Linked DNA regions of Daphnia pulex. Each later gene encodes a partner of the first gene's protein in a complex. Links are inferred from orthologs where the notes say so. Each region holds a gene or a part of one and is shown in the gene's direction. Other genes may lie near its edges.

Evidence for each region.
Region 2: DNA-directed RNA polymerase III subunit RPC5-like (region 1) and DNA-directed RNA polymerase III subunit RPC10-like share a complex: the UniProt entries of both Homo sapiens proteins name them as parts of the RNA polymerase III complex. The link is inferred for Daphnia pulex from reciprocal best matches to the Homo sapiens genes POLR3E and POLR3K.
Region 3: DNA-directed RNA polymerase III subunit RPC5-like (region 1) and DNA-directed RNA polymerase III subunit RPC9-like share a complex: the UniProt entries of both Homo sapiens proteins name them as parts of the RNA polymerase III complex. The link is inferred for Daphnia pulex from reciprocal best matches to the Homo sapiens genes POLR3E and CRCP.

What each region holds. Positions count from the first base shown.
Region 1 is NC_060017.1:5,953,648-5,958,037, reverse strand, and holds DNA-directed RNA polymerase III subunit RPC5-like, read left to right. Parts: upstream 1-1,569; 5' UTR 1,570-1,726; coding exon 1,727-1,768; intron 1,769-1,832; coding exon 1,833-1,934; intron 1,935-1,990; coding exon 1,991-2,145; intron 2,146-2,210; coding exon 2,211-2,398; intron 2,399-2,461; coding exon 2,462-2,634; intron 2,635-2,698; coding exon 2,699-2,903; intron 2,904-2,958; coding exon 2,959-3,185; intron 3,186-3,264; coding exon 3,265-3,425; intron 3,426-3,486; coding exon 3,487-3,667; 3' UTR 3,668-3,814; downstream 3,815-4,390. Other genes in the region: histone H2B-like, read right to left, coding at 431-667, 744-806, 865-954. UniProt on the Homo sapiens protein: DNA-dependent RNA polymerase catalyzes the transcription of DNA into RNA using the four ribonucleoside triphosphates as substrates.
Region 2 is NC_060019.1:12,453,140-12,455,485, forward strand, and holds DNA-directed RNA polymerase III subunit RPC10-like, read left to right. Parts: upstream 1-1,518; coding exon 1,519-1,845; downstream 1,846-2,346. Other genes in the region: feline leukemia virus subgroup C receptor-related protein 2-like, read left to right, coding at 27-318; yrdC domain-containing protein, mitochondrial-like, read left to right, coding at 1,922-2,346. UniProt on the Homo sapiens protein: Core component of RNA polymerase III (Pol III) which synthesizes small non-coding RNAs using the four ribonucleoside triphosphates as substrates. Can mediate Pol I proofreading of the nascent RNA transcript.
Region 3 is NC_060023.1:11,613,667-11,616,301, forward strand, and holds DNA-directed RNA polymerase III subunit RPC9-like, read left to right. Parts: upstream 1-1,451; coding exon 1,452-1,459; intron 1,460-1,524; coding exon 1,525-1,561; intron 1,562-1,631; coding exon 1,632-1,715; intron 1,716-1,782; coding exon 1,783-1,935; intron 1,936-1,999; coding exon 2,000-2,086; downstream 2,087-2,635. UniProt on the Homo sapiens protein: DNA-dependent RNA polymerase catalyzes the transcription of DNA into RNA using the four ribonucleoside triphosphates as substrates.

The sequences.
Region 1 (4,390 bases):
GCCATACATGAAAACATTCGTTTAGTCGTGATTATTTTTAATTCTATACTTCAAACTTCGAAAGAGATGTATAATTTGCGCGGATTGGCGCCATTTTCAAACATTGAAATTTGAACATTTCTATTTGTCCATCCAAACGATATTCATTCAAGTAATCATTGGAAACAAATTTAAATTGTGAAATTAAGTAATGTATTATTGCCAACTCAAAATTTATGTACGTAGCGCGAATGATCACATAGTAATAATAAATCACAAGTCACACATTGTTTGAATCAGCAAAGATGAATAGTGATTTCCCCACCTCAAAAGTTTTACAACACTACGACAAATGAATACAGCTATGATCGATGTAGATAATTATAGAAGATATAAAAAAATAGTCTAATAAAAAAAATTGAATTGTGGTCGACCCACTCGGAAGTCATTTTCACTTTGAACTGGTGTACTTGGTGACAGCCTTGGTGCCTTCCGAAACAGCGTGCTTGGCCAACTCGCCAGGTAGGAGGAGACGTACAGCTGTTTGGATTTCACGACTGGTAATGGTCGAACGCTTGTTGTAATGGGCTAGCCGCGAAGATTCTCCGGCAATCCGCTCGAAAATGTCGTTCACGAAGCTGTTCATAATAGTCATGGCCTTGGACGAAATTCCAGTGTCGGGATGTACCTGCAGAAAAGTTTCATCGATTGTAATTACACGATTATACACTATAAAATATCACGAAGAGAAACAAAACATTTACCTGCTTCAAGACTTTGTAGATGTAAATGGCGTAACTCTCCTTCCTCTTCTTGGTACGTTTGGTCTAAAGAAAACAAGATGTGAATCAAACTCGTTCAAAGTTTATAACACGAAATTCTTACCTTTTCACCAGACTTGTTGAGACCACCCTTTTGAGTCTTTCCTGCCTTTTTCGCTGCTTTTCCACTTGTTTTTGTAGGTGACATGGCCATTTTGATGATATTCTTAACTGGAACTCGACTGTGAGCTGATAGAATCTGGGAAATTCTGCTACAGAAAACCTAGACGACGTTGGTTTTTATACTCTTTCCCCCCATTTTTCGGACAAAGAAAACTCCCTATTTGCAGTCATAACTCCGGGGTACAAACCCATCCTCCTTCCACTTTTTTGTTTTCAGACGTTTTCTTACTCTTCCTCTAACCTCAAGTTAATGGATTTGTTTAATTCATTTAAAAGGGGATAATCTTTTTTCTCAGAAAGAGAAATAAACTATGAGCAAACTCTGTCTAGCCACGAGGTATTTTTTCGTTAGCCTTCCACGAATTCATATGCATTTTTTAAAGATTTTTTAAAGAAACTATTTTTTGTTAGGGCATATTCCGATTATTAAGTTTAATTGAAAAAAAATCATTTTAAACCTATTCAAAGCAAGGTCAAATGAGCTCCAATGAAATTGTTGTTTGCCATACTGAAAATAAGTTAGCCAGCCAAATAGGTTTTTAAAAATAAATATATGTTTATAAAATCTGAAGAAATGCATACAGCATTTATTAAATTTCGTGTCTATTAAATAATTTCGATGATTTATCAAATAGGATTTAATATGACCCATTTCCAGCAGACGACTGCCTCCCCATTTCACGATTTGAAGAATAATATTGTGCAGTGCTGTCTGCAGAGAATTTGCTTTCCCACGTTGTGGGAGTGATATCTATGATTTGTGATATCTAATTTATAATTTGGCGTCTAGAATCTGAAAAAAAATGTCAAAGTTAGAAGAGGAGAATGATGAAGTTGTCAGAGAGGTGGGAATTGGGTGTTGTTGCTGTATTCGGCGTGAATGTTCTCACATGTTTATGATTTTTACAGATCCCAGTCTTTTTGTCAAAGAATTTGCTTCAGAAACTCTATGTTTTCCAATATCCACTTCGTTCTGTTGCAGTTGAAATGGAAAGACCTCATGTTGCTGCTGTAAGTATTATATCTTGCATGCAACTCGATTTCAATATTAATGTGAAACATTTCAGTCAAGGATTAAGCCTAAACTTCAGGAAGTTGAATTAGAGCTTGAATTACCAACACATACACAAAATTATGATAGGAGCAAAGCTGAGCAAATTGTTATTAATACAGATGGACAAAATAAATATGATAAACCTGATCATCAGAACTTTTTCAGCGGGTAGGATTGGTTCGTAATATATTTACTTCAACAATATAATAAGTGTTTTCTTTCTTTCATGAAAGTTCATTTATGGATAAAATCACCTATTCTTCCACAAAAGCACTTTTGGATCCAGGAAGGTTTGCAGTTGGCATTGTAGTTGATAATGAACTTCATCTCAATCCATTGCATGGAATTCTACATGTAAAACCCAACTTTCCATACTTGGACAAATCTGAAAAAAATCTAAAAGATACTGATGAACCAACAGGTTAATTTCTTAATGCCAGAAGCATTGTTTCAAATTTATTAAAGTTCTTTGTGAATTTTATAGAGTCAGGTGATGAGGAAGAAGTTGCTGAACAAATCACTGTGAAATTTGCTCGAACTGAAACAGACAGAAGCAAAGCCCTCAGAGAAAAGTCTTTTGGGTTCCTCCAAAAAAAGAATGCAGAAGAACCCTGGTACAATACCAAATTCTATTCATTAAATTCTGAGGAATCCATGGTATTTATATCACAGTATTAAAGGTTATATAATCAATAGAATTATTGTTTGATCATTTGTATAGTTGGAAAAAAACCGTCTCATCTGTGGAAAATCGGATACAGTTCAAAATCTAACCATGGCAAAAGATAAATACATCAGCGATTTGATTGGCCCTAGCCTAGAGATTGATGAATTTCAGAAACAACTTACGTTAGGAAACGCGTCAATGTTTCAAATTCTTAAACTGCCTCAACTTGTAGATAGAATTAAAAATCTCATGGCTAATGGTAACTTAAATGTTGAAATAGTATTACCACATCGATAACCAATTTCTATCTATAGTTAAGCTGATCTCGTTCAGTAAGTTGTGCAGTACCCTAGAAATCAAACAGGAATCTGTTAAAATGGAATCGCTGAAATCGCTGCAACAGGTGGCTGAGTTGGTCCAAGGTAACTGGGTTGTCAAGAGCGAAATCCTTTATCCGAGCGGAGAGAAAGACAAAACGGTTAAATTGTGTGGAATTTCCGGAATTCATCCTGATATCATCAGCAAAGCCAGGGATTATGTGGTAAATAGCCTCCTGATGATTTGTTTTTTTCCTGGCGACTGTCATAAAGTTCTAACATTTATGTTTTGATTTGATATAGTTGTACATGTTTACTCTAAACCGTTGTGTGAACCGAGAAGCAGTCACTATTGCGACTAAAATTCCTACTGATGAAATGAAAGTTATTCTGGAGCAAATTTCCTTCAAGACCAAGGACGGATGGGAATTCAAATTGCCTTTTGATCAAGCCTTTGTTGACAAGTGCGTTTCAATTCCTTTCCAATGATTTTTGTGTTTTAATGACATTTTATTGCGAAAACAGGTATCCGGAAGTGGTTAGGCGCAGCGAATTGATGAATAAAGCTAAGCAGAAGCAACTTTACAACGTCGCCGAATTTAAAGCTCCGAAGAAGGAACCCACCGATACAATAAAGAAAAGAACAAGGCGACGCTCTCGACAAGATTCGTGCAGCTCAGACAGTGGAAATGACGTTAAGAAGTAATCGCAGTTGAACATGAAAAAGCGGATATTAAAAATCTTCTAGTACACTTTTTCTACCCTGCAACAGTCTCGCTGTTCATTTCATTGTTTTGACCTTGATTGTTCAGTTCGTGCTCTTGTCGAAAAATGAAATGGTTGACTGGCGAAAGTAACTGTATCTCTTTTCTACTTTTGATTTGTACGTAGAAATCTCAAACCGTACCAACAAAAATAACTGCAAGCCTCATCCACATTTTCACAAGCCCTCTGGAATATAAAATTTCGAAAGGATTTTTTATTAATATGAAAATATGTACACTTTTTAATCCTGGAACCTGGATCTACTGATCTACTCTAAGCTTTTTCATGCGACTGTTTTTTTTTTTCTTGTAAAATTGTTTGTGTTAATAATAAAATACGGAAACGATACATCCTCATATAAGTTTTTCTGGTTGTTTTTGCCACGAACTCAGTTTTGTGTTATCAATGATAGGTTAGGCAACCGTCTGCTAGAACTGATTTTAAGATTAGATCGTAGATTATAAACATCCTGGTTGCGTAAACCGATACAGCAAAAGAAAGGGGAGGAGCTTATTACAATCGTCTGAAGAGTTTGTTTACTGCTTTAAAATCAAGTTTTACACGTCAGTCATTTTTACACGTCAAACAGTCAAAGAATGTTGCAGCAAATATTTTAGATACTATATAAAAAACTATATGTGAGTGCTGAGAATTCAATTTCCTT
Region 2 (2,346 bases), on another chromosome or scaffold:
GTAACATTTGTGATAATTTGGTTAAGGTTCTTTATGACTGGATATCTGCCTGTTGGATTCGAGTTTGCAGCTGAATTGACGTACCCTGAGCCAGAAGTGACGTCGTCTGGTTTACTGAATGCCTCCGCCCAAGTATTTGGTATCGTCTTCACAATCATCGGGGGTTGGCTCTTGAGCAACTACGGCGATTTGGTCTGTAACGGAAGTTTGTCGGCAGCACTATTTTTCGGCGCTGCTCTATCGCTGTTCATCCGTTCGGATCTCAGACGCCAAAGAGCCAACCAGATGGAAGCGTTTCGAGCAAACGAAGCTATCTAAGTGTCATCAATCGACTCTCTGAGCTTCACCAGTAAGAGCTTTGCCTGTCTCCAAGAGATGCCACATTTGCCTCACGCAATTTCGAACAAGTTGATTTGCTTATTGTTATAGATATGTAGTTAGGTAAACTTTGTGTCACTGTATTATCTGCCATTTCAAAATGTTGCTTCCTTCAATGTGATTGGCTGCTGCACAAAGTTTGCGGCTATACCGTGAATCCGTTACGACGATTTCAATGGGGGAAAAAAAAGTAAAGTGATTGATAGTTATAGACTGTATGTATACTTATATATATAGCTTATAGCCTCTCTCTTTCGGTTCCGGTCTAAAAGAGTTTACATTTCTGTGTTATTACTAATGTAGTAAAATTGCTGTCTTCCGTACAATGCAGGGAATGGAAAGCAAAGTTCAAACCCAAGTTAGCTTCATTACAGAGTATTATGCATTCGATTCTTTATGAGCCTTTGACGTTAAAGTTGTTTTCACTTTTCACCACGACCCATTTTAAACTGACCAAATCATTTGGTTTGGATGATGTGACAGTTAACAATTATTGCGCCAAATAAAATCTAATGCCACCACGTTCACGTTTTTTTTTTCACCAATAAAAAAGAAGGGTGTGAAACCCCTCCCCCGAAAAAAAAGGTGGGATCCCCATCAACTACTATCACTTTGCTATTGTGGGCTTGCCACAACATCAAATTTTATTATTTAAAAAAAAATACTTAGCTTATTTCCCAAAAGGGGTTTGGGGAGTGAATTTTATCACTGATATGAACAAAGAACAAAGTTCATGAAATAAATTACCTCTTACTATGAGTACGAGGTTATAAATTATAAATTATAAATCTTGACAACAATAAATAATTTGTTTATTTATCGGCAATTCGCAATTCGATTTGGCGCTTCGAACTTGGTCTACGTTACCACGACTTGGCAACGCTTTTTTCTAAACAGCTGACGAAAAAGCATGGGCGGAAGTATGTTGGAAAAAGGGGACGACATTAATCGAAGCAACATTTTTCAACGGGTAATTTGCGATTGTTAGAGGTAAAATTCCATCACTATGATTATTATCTAACATTCTCAAGTTACATGATGCTTGATTTCCCTTGCAGATATAAATGGTGGCATTTTAAACTCTGTATTATGGTACGAAGTTTTTGAATGAGAAGACATTGATCTTACGAAGTTATCAAAATGTTGATGTTCTGTCCCACGTGTGGAAATCTTTTGGGTGTTGAAGAAGGACCCAAGTGTTTCCGATTCTCTTGCCGTACTTGCCCTTACGTATTCAACATTAATCGAAAAGTTAGCAGCAAATCATTCCCCAAACTTAAGGAAGTGGATGATGTATTAGGAGGAGTTGCTGCCTGGGAGAATGTGGATTCCACTGAAGCAACTTGTCCCAAGTGTGACCATTCAAGAGCTTACTTTTTGCAGATGCAGACACGATCTGCAGATGAGCCTATGACCACCTTTTACAAGTGCTGCAACCACGAGTGCTCCAACCTGTGGCGTGATTAGACACAACCTGCCTTCAAACCCCCACTTTCTTTTTTTCATGTTAAACTCAACTCATTATCGCCTTTAAAATTGTCAAATGATCAACCCAGTCATCCTCCTTGGGCCCAAGAACTCCGCAGCCATCCTAAAAAATGCAGTGGAGCTTCTGAAATCGGGCAGTGTGATTGCTCTTCCAACAGACACTTTATATGGGATCGCTTGTCTGTCCCAAAGTTCAGAAGCTTTGAAAAAACTTTATCAAATCAAATCGCGAGACAAGAATAAACCGGTTGCTATTTGCGTGTCGCAAGTTAGCGAAATCGCCAAGTGGGGACACGTTACAGTAGATGAACGTCTACTGCACGACCTTTTACCTGGACCCGTCACCCTTGTGTTCGAAAGAAGTCCTGCCTTGAATCCTGAACTCAACCCCGGAACTAAACTTGTTGGCATTCGAATTCCGGACTCTTGGTTCATTCGTCAACTGGCAAATAGCTGTGCTGAACCTTTAGCGTTGACTAG
Region 3 (2,635 bases), on another chromosome or scaffold:
CCGTGTGTCCCGAATTTTTTGTTGATAAACATTAGAAATTTCCTTAACGACTAAACATTGTTGCCAAACATCACAAAAACATCTGGGTGTGTCAATTTGTAGACATGTAAATCGCGGGTTTTTTTGTTAATAAGGAGGATAGGGAAGTAGTTAAACATAAAAGAAAAAACATTTCATGATAAACAGGCGCAAAAAAGAACGATTTCTAACGACTAGAAACTGATAATACAGGTTTCCCAACACAGATAATTTTTCCAGTTTTGACACAATAGTGGGAAATGGTTTTCTCTCCTCCGACACTTAATTGGAATTCTGGTAACGCACATTTTCTGCAATCGGGAACAGTTGTGTGCTTGTATCTGTTGACGTGTTTCAAATACTTAAAGATACCATTGGCTGAAAAATCAAAACTAGCTTCACAGCTCTGAAGGTCACATCCTATAACAGTGTAATCAGGAATCAAACCTGATGAATTTAATTTGGTAAAAAGGAACTGACTGTGAAAGTGAAGATCTGAATGATTGTGACAAACATCAGATTTGTTACAAGAGTGAATTCTCACTGCACATTTAGATGTAAAGAATACAACAATGGATTTCTTGCACTTTAAACACATTTCTTCACTGTGGGTTGGGTTTTTAATGGAATGCTGAGCCAAGTCTTCCAATGCAGTAAATAACTGTGGGCAGTCATAGCATCTATAGGGAAAATCTTTGACTGTATTGACTTGATTACTCAACCTATGATGAACAGCATCTGCTTCAACAATACTAGGTTGGTTATCCATTGCTCTATACAATTTTTTTTTACTTTGTTAGAATATAATTTACATCAACAGAAAATTTAGGATTATGCCTTGCCTGTATTCTTCACCTGTAGTTGTAATAGGTCTATGATTCTTGCTGATAAGCGATAAGATAACATATATATCTTTTATGGCTTACTATGGTGAATCAACCTTACGAAATAAACATGCCCACGAGGTAGATTAAGCAAAGAAAACCTTCAAATACTAAAGAGAGTAAATAGGGCACCTTTACCTTGCGATATTGCGGTGCGGTCGGCTTTTTTCTTTGAATAATCAAGGTAGCAATTGAAAGCAACGACATGATTTCAACATTGCAAACCTCATCCAAAGAGAATGTTTACCAATATTTAGCAGACAGCAATTACAGCGTTGCTTCCTCTTCGTGCCTTTAAAAACCACAAGATAATTTTGATCAAACGAAAATTACATAATACTTGCTGGATTATTTTCAAAATTTCTTTAAATAGATAGAATTGATAAAACTGAATTGAAATCGAAATAATTTTACCGCGGTTTCCAAATGACATCGTTGCCTACAACTGCAGCGTGAAGAAAAGTTCTCTAAAAAAACGTGCATTTTTTTCAAAACAATCTGCTCGTGTTTGGAATCTTCAAGCATTTCTGGCTACTGATCGTAATTGAAATGGAAATGTAAGCTAATTGTATAAATTTGTCCATGAACTTCCACTCAACCCCATTTTTTGTTTGTGTTACAGAATCGATGCAAACACGGCTATACTTAGCAATTTTGAGGTAGGTAAAACCTGTTTACTGGAGAATGTGTGGCTTTGAATAATTTATTTGTAATCTAACATTCTTCAAGGTTCTGGGACTTTTGAACAGTTCAAGAGTCAAAGGAGACCAAACCAGGAATCAAAGTGGGTCCTTAGCCACCATCACGTATGAAGTAAGGATTTTTTCAAATGATTTCAATGTGTATCTGCTTCGATTCACCAGTTTCTTTTTGCCTATAGGCCATAAAATATCTTGAAGGCACGCCAGCTGCAGTACAGTCTGAGGGTTGCTTCAAGAAATTTCTCGAGGATGTGAAAAAGTTTGGACTGACTAAAAAAGAGAAAACCATGATCTTGAATCTGAGGCCTAAAACTGACGTTGAAATATCACTGGTATAAAAGCTATGCATGCCACTAGAATTGTCCATGTCTTAATCAGTGATTCAAACCTTTTTAGATTGTCCAATCTACAGATCAGGAACGGTTGACTGAAGAACAAATTGAGGAGCTCATAGAACTCATTCAAAATACTTTGCCAGAATAAATTTGTTTTAACCCCGATTCTCATTTTCACGTTCGTTAAAAACTCAACTCTGAATGTAAACAAATTACTAAATCCGAGAAAGCATGAGATGACAGCGAAATGTTTCAATTGCCTAACCATTACACCATGTGCCCAACGAAACCACCGTTATCCATCAAGGTTTCTCGACAGCCGTTATTTTATCTTTATTTGTTTTTAGTCGATCAACATTCCTTCCAACATCCTAACCATTAACAGCAGGATAACGACGGAAACATTCGAAACACTTGACAGAAGATTCATTCCGGGGTGAACCAAACTTGATTCTAGGTTAGACATCACTTGAATAAATAAGATTGTCATTTTGGTTGCACATTTCTGTTCATTTATTGTAATGACGGGATCAAAATAAGATGGACAGAATCAATATGGAGAACATATTTTGTGTGTATATCGCCCGAGTGCTAACTCCTTGGAGGAAGAGTAAATGGTAAAGGGGGTCGGAGAGAAAAAAACAAAAAGACGTGGGAGATATTTCAGGACTTTTTTTTTTCTTAAATACACAACAGA